4 linked regions of the Saccharomyces cerevisiae S288C genome follow. The gene in region 2 interacts genetically with the main gene of each other region. Each region holds a gene or a part of one and is shown on either strand. Other genes may lie near its edges.

The links.
Region 1: mutations in YGR035C (region 2) and PFS1 together harm fitness more than expected from each alone (negative genetic interaction), as found in Saccharomyces cerevisiae (2 studies listed by BioGRID).
Region 3: mutations in YGR035C (region 2) and RSO55 together harm fitness less than expected from each alone (positive genetic interaction), as found in Saccharomyces cerevisiae (one large-scale study listed by BioGRID).
Region 4: mutations in YGR035C (region 2) and YOL131W together harm fitness more than expected from each alone (negative genetic interaction), as found in Saccharomyces cerevisiae (one large-scale study listed by BioGRID).

Annotation. Positions count from the first base shown.
Region 1 is NC_001140.6:474,127-476,940, forward strand, and holds PFS1 (Pfs1p), read right to left. Parts: upstream 1,215-2,814; coding exon 501-1,214; downstream 1-500. Other genes in the region: SSP1 (Ssp1p), read left to right, coding at 1-333; ubiquitin-binding TORC1 subunit KOG1, read right to left, coding at 1,873-2,814. UniProt on the Saccharomyces cerevisiae protein: Involved in the pathway that organizes the shaping and sizing of the prospore membrane (PSM) during sporulation. Required to localize MPC54 to all four spindle pole bodies, and localize DON1 and SPO14 to four prospore membranes.
Region 2 is NC_001139.9:556,491-559,269, forward strand, and holds YGR035C (uncharacterized protein), read right to left. Parts: upstream 933-2,779; coding exon 582-932; downstream 1-581. Other genes in the region: 60S ribosomal protein uL24 RPL26B, read left to right, coding at 1-182; YGR035W-A (uncharacterized protein), read left to right, coding at 1,075-1,296; CAX4 (dolichyldiphosphatase), read right to left, coding at 1,659-2,378.
Region 3 is NC_001144.5:703,984-706,598, forward strand, and holds RSO55 (Rso55p), read right to left. Parts: upstream 978-2,615; coding exon 510-977; downstream 1-509. Other genes in the region: YLR278C (uncharacterized protein), read right to left, coding at 1-41; PUT7 (Put7p), read left to right, coding at 1,203-2,147; ECI1 (dodecenoyl-CoA isomerase), read right to left, coding at 2,215-2,615.
Region 4 is NC_001147.6:71,337-73,907, reverse strand, and holds YOL131W (uncharacterized protein), read right to left. Parts: upstream 878-2,571; coding exon 551-877; downstream 1-550. Other genes in the region: GAS4 (1,3-beta-glucanosyltransferase), read right to left, coding at 1,193-2,571.

The sequences.
Region 1 (2,814 bases), on a different chromosome or scaffold from region 2:
TCTGCGAAAGAACTTGAGCCCGATCAATTAGTTGAACTTCTCGCTCAGGAAAAAGAAGAGAAAGAGGCAAAAAATATCAGCTCTTCAACTGCAGAAGTTCCATCGATATCGCAACCTGAAATAAAGAAGGAGAATCTCGAATCAAATGATTCCTTGATTTTAAGAAGCACGAAAAGAAATGTAAATGTCAATGCCGCTAGTTTGAGGAATCTTTCCATTAAAAAAACTCAAGTCAAACCGGAGTCTGCAAGTGAAGAAAGCAAAGTTCTTGCTGCAGCTTTAAATGATGCAAAACAAAACTTGGATGAAAACGTCTGGAGAACTCCTATCTAAAAAACAAACGAATATAGTTTGAACACTCATTCCATGTTCTATGCTTATTGTTGTACATTTATTATTTATATATTCTTAAATATATTTCGAGAGATCTATACATAAACATCAATTTATTATAATTCTACACAAAATTACATTTAAATATTAATGGCTTTCTTCAAAATTCAAAAATCTTTTTGAGAAAATTCATACTCCTTCAGATATTGGTTTCTTATCAACGCTTCAATTTTTTTCTCTTGAATATATATAATATCAGTATCGGTTAAAGCTTTAGAATAATCCGTCTCCATACATGATGTTTTCTCGAATGTAAATTCTGTCTCTTCCCAATCCAACATATATTCATAATCAAAGCAGTTTGTAAATAAATAACCGTCGAACCCCACAAAAATTGGTAATCTTTCAAGCCAGCTTTCAACTTTTTCGGAACAAGGCATGTTTTGTGTTGTCCGTGGACTGAAATATGTCGGAATTTCAAATCCATTATTCGAATTATGTAAAACACTCCAGTTACTAAACTTGACATCTTGGCAATTAACTTTTTCAATGTGATTTAAATAGGATAAATAAGGGTTTGGTAATGGTAGCGTACCGTGGGGATACAAATTTGGCAAACAATTGATTGAAGAAAGCTGTGGTGACATACTGTCAGTAACTCTTATTGGTTTTTCGTATGCAGGCCACTGTTCGTGTTGTCGTCTTCTTAACGCTGGATTGAACTCAGGAAATGTTGTATTCTGTATCTTCCCGCAATCTGGTGGTATCTTATTAATTATCTCAGCAATCGGAGAGCTTCGAAAGTTGTTCATTTTATTTAGCTTCGATGTTTTAGTCTCCTTCAGTTCCGGTGCGGAAAGCTGTGTGTAACCTTGATTCATTTCGATAAAATTTGCGTTTTTATAAAATTCCCAAAAATACTGACTATGGTAGAAAAGATTTCAACGAGGAAGGTGGTAAAGATCAATGAAGTATCTTCAATCATTATGTAGGTTATAAGTAAATGTTTTTGTTTTCAATTATGTTCCATAGTTTGTGGTAGTTTTTCTTTGAAAACGACTGTGTCGGCCAGAATTGCTGTCGCATCACCAAAAAAAAAAAAAAATGATACAAAGACTGGGGATGAATGTTACGTAAACAGGAAAAAAAATATGTCGAAGGAGAGAGAAAAAATATTTAACAAAGTGCATGCCTCTAAACGTCGTAATTGGTCTGGCTATGACAAACAAAAAAATCGATGTTAAAATGTTCCAACCGAGGATCGAACTCGGGACCTTTGCCGTGTGAAGGCAACGTGATAGCCGCTACACTATTGGAACAGACTTTTAATATTCTGAACTTTCTGCTTTACTAAACATCGTATTATTATACGAACATGAAACAATAATTAACAACAAATTCCAGAACTTGCGACCAGCTGTTAAATTCACAATCAGACCAATTTTTTACTCGACTTTTATTATATAATAGATTATATATATATATATATATATATCTCTTTTGCAGCTAAATGAAAGAAAAAAAAAGAAATGGCACATATCAAAAATAATCAATTCTCTCGTCTTCACACTTGTAGATATTTACAATAGAATCGTGAGAATTGGTGGCCGCAATCATCATTCTATGAGGATGGAAAGCCATCGAAGATAAAAATGCATCAGAAGTGGAAGAGTAGGACAGTGACTTTGGGATTCCCGTAGCGGCTAATGTACTTGTTACGCCATTATTATGTGAGTTTTTAAAAGAATTCAAAAGATCTCCAGATGTCGTCCATATCTTTATTTGTTTAGTCCCTGTCGCAATTATCGGAGCATGCTCATGAACCTGCATGCACGTCATTGTCGTTGGTTTTTGTTGCGAACCGTACTGAGAAGTTACGTTTTGATCAACAAACGATTCTACCGGATCTTCGGACCTTATATCCCATAACTCTACAACACCATTGGTAGCTCCACTGACCAATTCTCTGTAACCACCTCTTTGTAAATGAACATTGTTAATCCAAACTCCCTGCTTATCATTTCCAGCTCTCCAGCGACGTATCATGGAATCTCTTGGATCGAGACGGCGATCATATACTCTCAGGGAGCCATCTGCAAACCCTGCTACGAAGATATTACCTGCTAGCTGATCAGCCGTCAAGGATGTAATTAAAGATGATGTTTTTGCAGGAATGTCCACTTCAACCGTTTCTGTATGCGCATCCCAGACACGGATAACCTTAACATCACCAGTTGTTAACAATGATCCTCTTATTTGTAACCATTCGGTTAGTAAACCTGTGGATCTAGGTGTCAATAACATATCGGTCAAGCCTCTCCAGGCGGATACAATTTTAAAGGTGTCGACATCTTGGTAGTCTCTGTATATTTTGATAACACCGTCTGAAGAACCTGTCAATAAAAGGGCGGAGTCATCCTCGTTAATGAGTTTCAGGTCAGTAACTTTTGTGCCAAAAGGAGTACCATTGGAGAATTTGGA
Region 2 (2,779 bases):
GTAAGATTTCATCTGTTTACAGATTGAAGTTTGCTGTTCAAGTTGACAAGGTCACCAAGGAAAAGGTCAACGGTGCTTCCGTTCCAATTAACTTGCACCCATCCAAGCTTGTTATCACTAAGTTACACTTGGACAAGGACAGAAAGGCTTTGATCCAAAGAAAGGGTGGTAAATTGGAATAAACTAGCTCGACTTTAACATAGATCATACAAAAAATACAATAAATAAATCCTGTGTTTCTTTTATGTATATTTTTTATCAATTTCAATTTAGTTTAGTTTAGTTTCTTTAAAAATAAAATTGTAATTTCTCACATTCTGCCTTCGGGTCTCAAGGGCTGGTTGGTAGACGAATGCGCTTGTTTCTAGCTGAGCGGCAGATGCATGAATTCAATGCAAGAAAATGAGAAAACTTCCAATATTAAAATGTGATTGTTAATTATTAGTATATTTATGACAATATATATATGTACATAGGGTGATTATGAAGATGAGTAAGATGCGAATGGATATGAGGATATGAATCTTTTTAGAGACAATGAAGATGCAAAGAAGTAGTTAAGCACATTGACCTCAGGGTTGCTATATGCTACTTTTAGTCCGTTGGATTTCTGAAGCAGTATTGGCCACAAAAATTTCTTCATTATTTCTACGATTAGAGTTTCTTCTGGATTTTTCTCGTCCCTGAGACTTACTCCTTTTCAAGTCATTTTCAGCAGCAGCTTTGATTAAATCATATCTTGTGATTTTACTTGGAGAGCTATTGTGATGGGAACTTTGTCTGCATGTGACTGTATTAGTCAGAGATGTTATGGGCTTAACCATAAGGGAAGAAACTATGGCACGCATGAATGAATTACTGCTTTTACTGCTGTCATCTGTTGAGTTTGCTGAGTCTTCCGTTCTTGTAGTCTTGGCTGGTGTGAGTAACATTACGTATTGTTTCTGTAGAGAAGATAACTTATAACTTCCGTCTTGTCACTAGTTGTTTTAATTATATGTTTGTTACAAGTTTTTATGTATAGATATATGTTACAACTTTTAGAAGTATTGTGGACATAACAGAGAGAAGGGAATGTTGCTATATTTATATATTTTATATATTGCCCTCAAAACTGTATCTCATCTTTTTTTCTGCAATCCTTGCTTTCGTAATCTAAGTGTGGGTGACATGCTAAATCCGCGGCTTTCCTTAAGCTTTTTCACAAACCATCTATTATGTCCAGAAGCTCCGCTGATTATCCGTGGAAAAGGGTCTTATTCTGCCGTAGGAAACTTCTTCTCGAGAAAAAAGTGAGTTCACCCGCGGCGCTCTCGTAAAACCCGAGGGCCGATTCTTTCCCTCCGTGGAACAATCGGCCCCGCGGCGTCAGAGGGTATTATCTCCGCAAGTGATAGAACTCACATTTATTCTACGTTCTGCATGGTTTTGATTATCTTCTTTTGCACGATGTCACATACTTTTTCGATTACCGTCGCTTTACACAGTAACTGTTTAAAACGAGCGTTCTTAATTAATAACTGTAGGAGAGCAGGCTTTCGGCTTTCTTTATGAGAAATAAGGACTACTCCAGCTTGCCAAGTTTTATCCAGTTACACAAACGCTCAAGATCGCCTCGCTAAAATAGATGAAAAAATAAGAAAAATGAAATGTTCAACCTAATCCCTTTTGGATTTATCATTGAAAGATCGCTGATTTATTCTTTTCCAATACGCCTCGTAATTCTCTTTCAATGTCAAAGGCGCCAGATTGTAAGAATCTGTCATGTAAAATAATCTGACAATACGTAGTTTTAAAAACCAATTGATTAAACCAAGCTCTCTTATGATGCCAACTATAAAAAAATAAAGTGATCCAGTCAGTGCCCCCACGCTGAATCCCACGATTACTTGATCTAAATTGTGGTAGTGCAAGTAAACTCTGGAAAAGCAAACGCAAAACGATAATAAAGCCAATGCACCAGAAAAAATGCATTTTTCTAAGAAGTTTAGATTCTTCCAGGAAGTGTATATCTTCAGAGAGTTATAGGTAAAACAAAACCCCATGAATTGGGAGTGTGCACTGGGCATCCCGTAACCGGATCTTATAGTGTCATTTTGGAACGACGCACCGAACGATACGGGGCGTGGCTGTTTTATTATATTCTTGATCACGTTATTGAATATTTCGTTCATCAATTGGCCAAAGGCTACAATGCAGGCTTCTAACTCTCTTGTGATGATAAACCACGACAAATAAAAAGCTAGCACTAGGATGGGCATCAGCGAGAAATATGCACTAAGGAATGATAGAAAGTCATGCGAATCATAGAGAATGTATGTGTCATCGAATGGTATAACATTTGGATTTGGATTTATTGCAGCGGCGGTACTATTCATGATATGATCCGATTCAAAACAAATTTTGATGTAGATAAAATGCCTGGTATAATGAGTGGTAGAGAAGAAAATTAGACGAAAAGAATGAGAACGAAGAAATGATTTAAAGTGATCACAGTGGCAATCACTTTCCCCTTTTTAACGCGTGTTGAGCAATCGATTGATGTCTCTACCATATGTAGCATTTTCTCAGAAGGCAAACTTTTCTTTTTCTTTCTACTTTTCCAACAAGAAATTTTAAGTTTTCCCAGAAACCCGAATTCTCCTATTTCATCCACCACGTAAGAACGGTTTTCTTCCTGGCGTAATTAAAAGCATAAAGAAAAACTGAACAAGCTCTAGATGTAGATCAGGGTATACATGGTGCGCTTCAGTAAGTGTACTGTACCACTAGTTTGGCG
Region 3 (2,615 bases), on a different chromosome or scaffold from region 2:
TGTATTTTCTCCTGGCTAACATTCTTCCTTGGACGGCCCATTATTATTTACGTGTATTGTTGGTAGTTAGCCCGAAGATTATGAGTACGTGAAATACACTTGTCTTTATGAAAGAGTGGAAAAATGGTGGGGAGTAAGTTATACTATTGACGTGTAAAAAAAAAAAAAAAAAAATGTTAATGGAACGACCGATCTAAAGAACCATATATAATGAATGACTAAAAAAAGCAAAATAGTTAAGAATCCAAGAAAGATACTAAGAAAAGGCGAAAAGAAAAAGAAAAAGTATGTCCGCTAACAAAGATTAGCGTATAAGCACCACACGATGCGATTCAGGTCTCAACGTGCAGTGTGCAGGAGCAGGAACTATTCAATGTATTGTTGTTCCAGGGTTTTTGTTCGCAACCCACGTCTTGACCGACGGTACCCGCAGGTGAAAATTTTAGCAAAGTTACACTTTTTTTTTCATTTTTTTTTTTCTTTTCTCCTCCATCTAATTTCACCTGCGGTTACCGGCGGAATAACTCGCGCACCATTTCTCTGTCTCGGGCCTCGCGTTCCTCTTTTTCGACTCGAGCGGCCTCTTCACGCTGCTCGTACTTCGCGACGCTGCGCCGGCGCTGCGAGCGTTTCTGTTGACGGTGCCACTGTAGAAGCGCCTCCTCTCTGGACGGCATCGTGTCGTACGACGCCGCAAGTTCGCGCGCGAGCTTAAGCCGGGCAAGCTTTCGATTTTGCTCACGTGACCGCGTTTCTTGGCACTCGACAACGATCCCAGTGGGTTCATGCCGTAGTTGTACCTTAGAATTACACTTATTAATCTTTTGGCCACCGGGCCCTCTGCCGCCATGAAGGAATTTCTCAGTGCATTGTGCTTCCATCTCTGGCGTGAACTTTGGTCGCGGTGGTAGCTTGTTCTTTTTAATCAGCAGCACTGCGGCACTGCTGATTGACCTCTTACTCGCTCCCCTCATCATAGTTTACTAGTCTCGGATTCTTCTGCGCTTTTTCCAGGGTCGCATAGCTTGTAGGTTGGTAGCATAGACTTATATATAAACTCATATCCGTTCTAGGAACGTATAGCGCGCTATGGTAGTCCGGGGAAAATGCACAGTTTAGTTAAGTGTATAGTAATTTTATCGATAAAGGAAGAATGGAAGAGGTTTATGTATACATGTAAACTCTGAACATCTAATAGACTAATGATGCGGTTAATACGTACATTGCCGCTTCGATGCTTCAAAACTAGAATACGGCGGCAAGGCTCGTTGTTGTGTTTGCGGTGCTTTAGTTCGTATTCAAAACCACTTTTGCAGAAATCAATGTCATTGAAAAATATCCAGTTATCAGACCTATCCTCATCGCCATTATCCAAGAACAAGGAGAAGCAGGAGAAGCCAGAGAAGGAAAACGAAGGAAAGCACTCCATTGGCCTGTTAGACAGATTTTCAGAGGACTTTATTACTCAGGGCAATGGATTGAAACCTACTACTTCACAAAATCAATTGGATACTATAAAGTTTTATCAAATGCTTCGTGAAAGAGGCAATTTTTCCGATGAACAATGTAAAATTATCATAGCTCTATTGTTGCAACTACTAAATGATCAGTTTTATTCCTGTTACAATGATTTGTTCTTAAGGGATATGGAGCTGAATAAACAATCACATTTGTTCAGCTCGCTAGAAACAGAATTGAAATTCGCAATTCAAAACTCTAGAGACACGCAACTAAATGAGCACCACTTGCAATTATTAAAACTCAAGAGAGAACTTAACTCAATCCATGATGAACTGAATGAAATCATAATAGATCTTTTGCAAAAGGACGCTAAATTAGAATTTAACAATCAAAAATTAGAAAACACCCTTTTGTATCGACAATTAAACCTGAAATTGAACGACTGTTCTAACAAGATTCAAACCAAGATACTGGGGGATATCAGGTCACATATCGAAAATTTAAGATGGCAGACAACCAGAAGCGGTCTTTTGGTAATATTAGTCCTTGTTTGTTCGATTATGATCGGTGTAAGCGCATCTAAGAAGGAACGCCCAGGTTTACAGGAACCTGAGGAACCTGAAATTTTAGCACCAAAGGAAGACATTGATACTACCTTCCCTCAAGATCAACATGATATAGATTAATTAGCATACATATTGTCTGTACATAAGTATATTGTGTGTGCGTTTTGTTTCACTGAGAAAGCGGACGTCATAAACGATGCTTCCTTTGTTTCGAGCCCAGCTGCCTAAATCTTTTTAAGGGCTCTCCATCTACCCAATACTTGAGAGATTCATTTACTTCCACTGAGTTAGCCTTATTGAATGCATCGATGTGGTTCGATTTCAGCAATTTTTTCATCCCTAAGCAACTGGGCAGGTATAGCCCTTTCACTTTCTCCCTCAATTCTTCTAAGACCTTTGCATTGAACGCTTCAGCGTTTGAAGATGGCATGTTAAAATTCTTGCTTATAAATCCGTTCTCGCACATTATATCGTACTTGAATGGTTTGTTGAACATGAGGCATTCATACGTCGTATTTGTGCCAAACTTCAATGGCAAAGAGACCGTTGTACCACCTTCGGTAATTAGTCCTAAGTTAGCAAAGGGGT
Region 4 (2,571 bases), on a different chromosome or scaffold from region 2:
ATTAAATGAGTAGATGCTGCCAGAGTACTGAAATTTTTAGGCAATTTTTGGCTTTAGTTGTGTCTACCGCCAGTTGAATGGAGCTATAAAACAAGTCTAGGTGAACCTACGCTGACATTTTGAAATTAATCAATTAAAATCAGTTTTTGATACATGCGTTATGTAATCCTTAGCGTAGAAGACCCTACTTGTTTCCTATAGAGGAAAAGGTTGTATATTTTAGAGATTCGTCCATTCAAGGGGTTGCATATAGGGGGGACATACTATAACGGAAAATACTAGTTCAAAGCGTTGCCCTCGAAAAAGAGACGGAGGAGTACGTAGAACAATACATAAACACACAATATACCATCGGAGAACAACAAGTTGTTCCAAAAAAGCAGTCGTCCTAGAGTGAGGCTATCATAGCGTAGACGCCTAAATACTTAACACTCTCAAACAAAAGTTCATCTTACGCATTTCATAGCTTGGTCAAAGAGTTAATGAGATAAAATCTCAAAGATTAGTAGAAAAGTTAGGATCGGAACTATTTTGATTCGGTTCTAATTTCCTAGTATTGCGAATCTACCGTGTTCTCTTCATCCTCCCCCTGCGATGAGCTTGGTGGAACGGGAGGGGGTGAATCCAAACATTTAAAGCCTTGAATCAAGGGCACATGTTCTTCCTCCAGGTCAGGGCTAAATATTCTACACCTAGATCGCTCTAACTGTGATTGCGCGTCATTTATCTTTATCTCTGGAAATACCTTTGTTTCCATGCGAATCCGTTTGGCAACTTTACTGAGGTTGAACCTTAAGTTCCATACAGAATGTGCTAGTTCTGCTCTTTGCAAAACCTTATCTTGGACTTCGTCTTGTGCTATCTTATTAGTATTCATTCTCTGTCTATCTTATCTTCTACGACTACTACTGCCAGGTCTTTATCTAAATAAGAAGTGGCAAAAGGATACTTAAAAGCTCGGCGGCAAAAGTTTCTCGGCCACTAATTTACCCTAATGGACTCGTACTGTGCATATAAAACACATATCATACCGAGTAAAGAAGTCACCCCAAGAAGAACTTAACTGGAAATTCCTGCATAGCGTTATTTCAGAGAGTGTTATAGGCTCTGATTTTTATCACGTTTAGCAATAGCCATAGTCACTTTTTTAAATATGTATTTACTCTTTAAAAAGGGAGAACGACATTAAAGTCTAAAAAAATAAACTAAAAGTAAAAAAAAGCAAACACAACCCAAGAGGTAACAATGGGCCGGAAATAGAGGCAGAATTCCGGTGTTTTCGTTTTAAATCATCTTTGTCTTCATCTGCGTCTTCTTGTTCTTCTCCTTCCAGGTCTGCCAATGTCAGGCTTTGCCTAATTTCAATCTTTTTGGGCCCATTCCATCTGTCACCATGCTTGTCTAAAATCGTGACATTGGTGGACAGCTGATCCTCGTGAATATCTATGTATTTGCCTTTTTCAACTTTCACGCCTTTTTTTATCAAAGAACTTCCTAAATTTTTAGCAATTTTAGATTCAATCTTCAAATTTTCATAATCTTCCGCACATGATGGCGTCTCCTCCATCTGAACAGTTTCCTTTAAAGTCTTCATAGAAGGAAACTCAATGTTTTGGTAGTGCGATTTAAGCTTCTCAAAATCTGCTAAGAGCTGTACTGAATCATCTTCTTGATATTCAACTAACCCATAATTATTATCCTCCTGTGAAAATTCGTAAACCAGACCTCCACAGAATACTGAATACATCTCCTCAGAAAACAAATAACCTATTTCCTGGAATTGCCTTGGCAATACTTTATTGCATCCAAATTCTGAAAAAAAAACTGGCTTGGAATAGCTCCTGTAAGCATCCACCAATGTATCGTACCCTGAAGTTTGCATAGTTTGTTGGCCACACCATTGGTAGGAGTTAACTCCGTAAAAATCAACGCTATTCTCTGGCTTATCATCATCTTTACACTCCAAATATTCGGACAGTGATACCCTATAGTTCAGGTCATCTGCAGCAGAGTAACCTACCGGAATTGTTCTGGGCGAGTGTGCGCTTATGTAATTCTTCATAGTTCCAATCAACTCCTTGACATAGGCAGGAGAATATTGTGCTGATCTTTTGTCGTTTACAATTTCATTCCCAGCAAAAAATCCTAAAGTATTATTGTAATGAGAAAATTGTTCGACAACCTTGAAAACGTGTTCTAAATAAACTTCATTATAGGTAGTCCAAGGTTCATATCTGTTTAAGTGCTGGTTTTGCAATGGGGAATTGACATCCAATATAAGATAGATACCTGCCATTGCGAGCATAGTCATGCACGCATCATGGTTCAGGTCCGGGTTTATAGAATAAATTCTTACTGTGTTTATTCCCAATTCTTGAAATAATAAAATATCACGAGCGCATGCATCTGGATTGGATAACGGATCCTGCTTTTCACTAACGTCGGAAGAGCCTCCTGGCTGATAATCCACACCTTTGATGAAGAATGGTTTTCCAGTCACTGTGTCAACGAAATGCTTGTCCTTAATTTGAATGGTGTGGACTGAAGCTTCACACAGTACAACTAACTCCA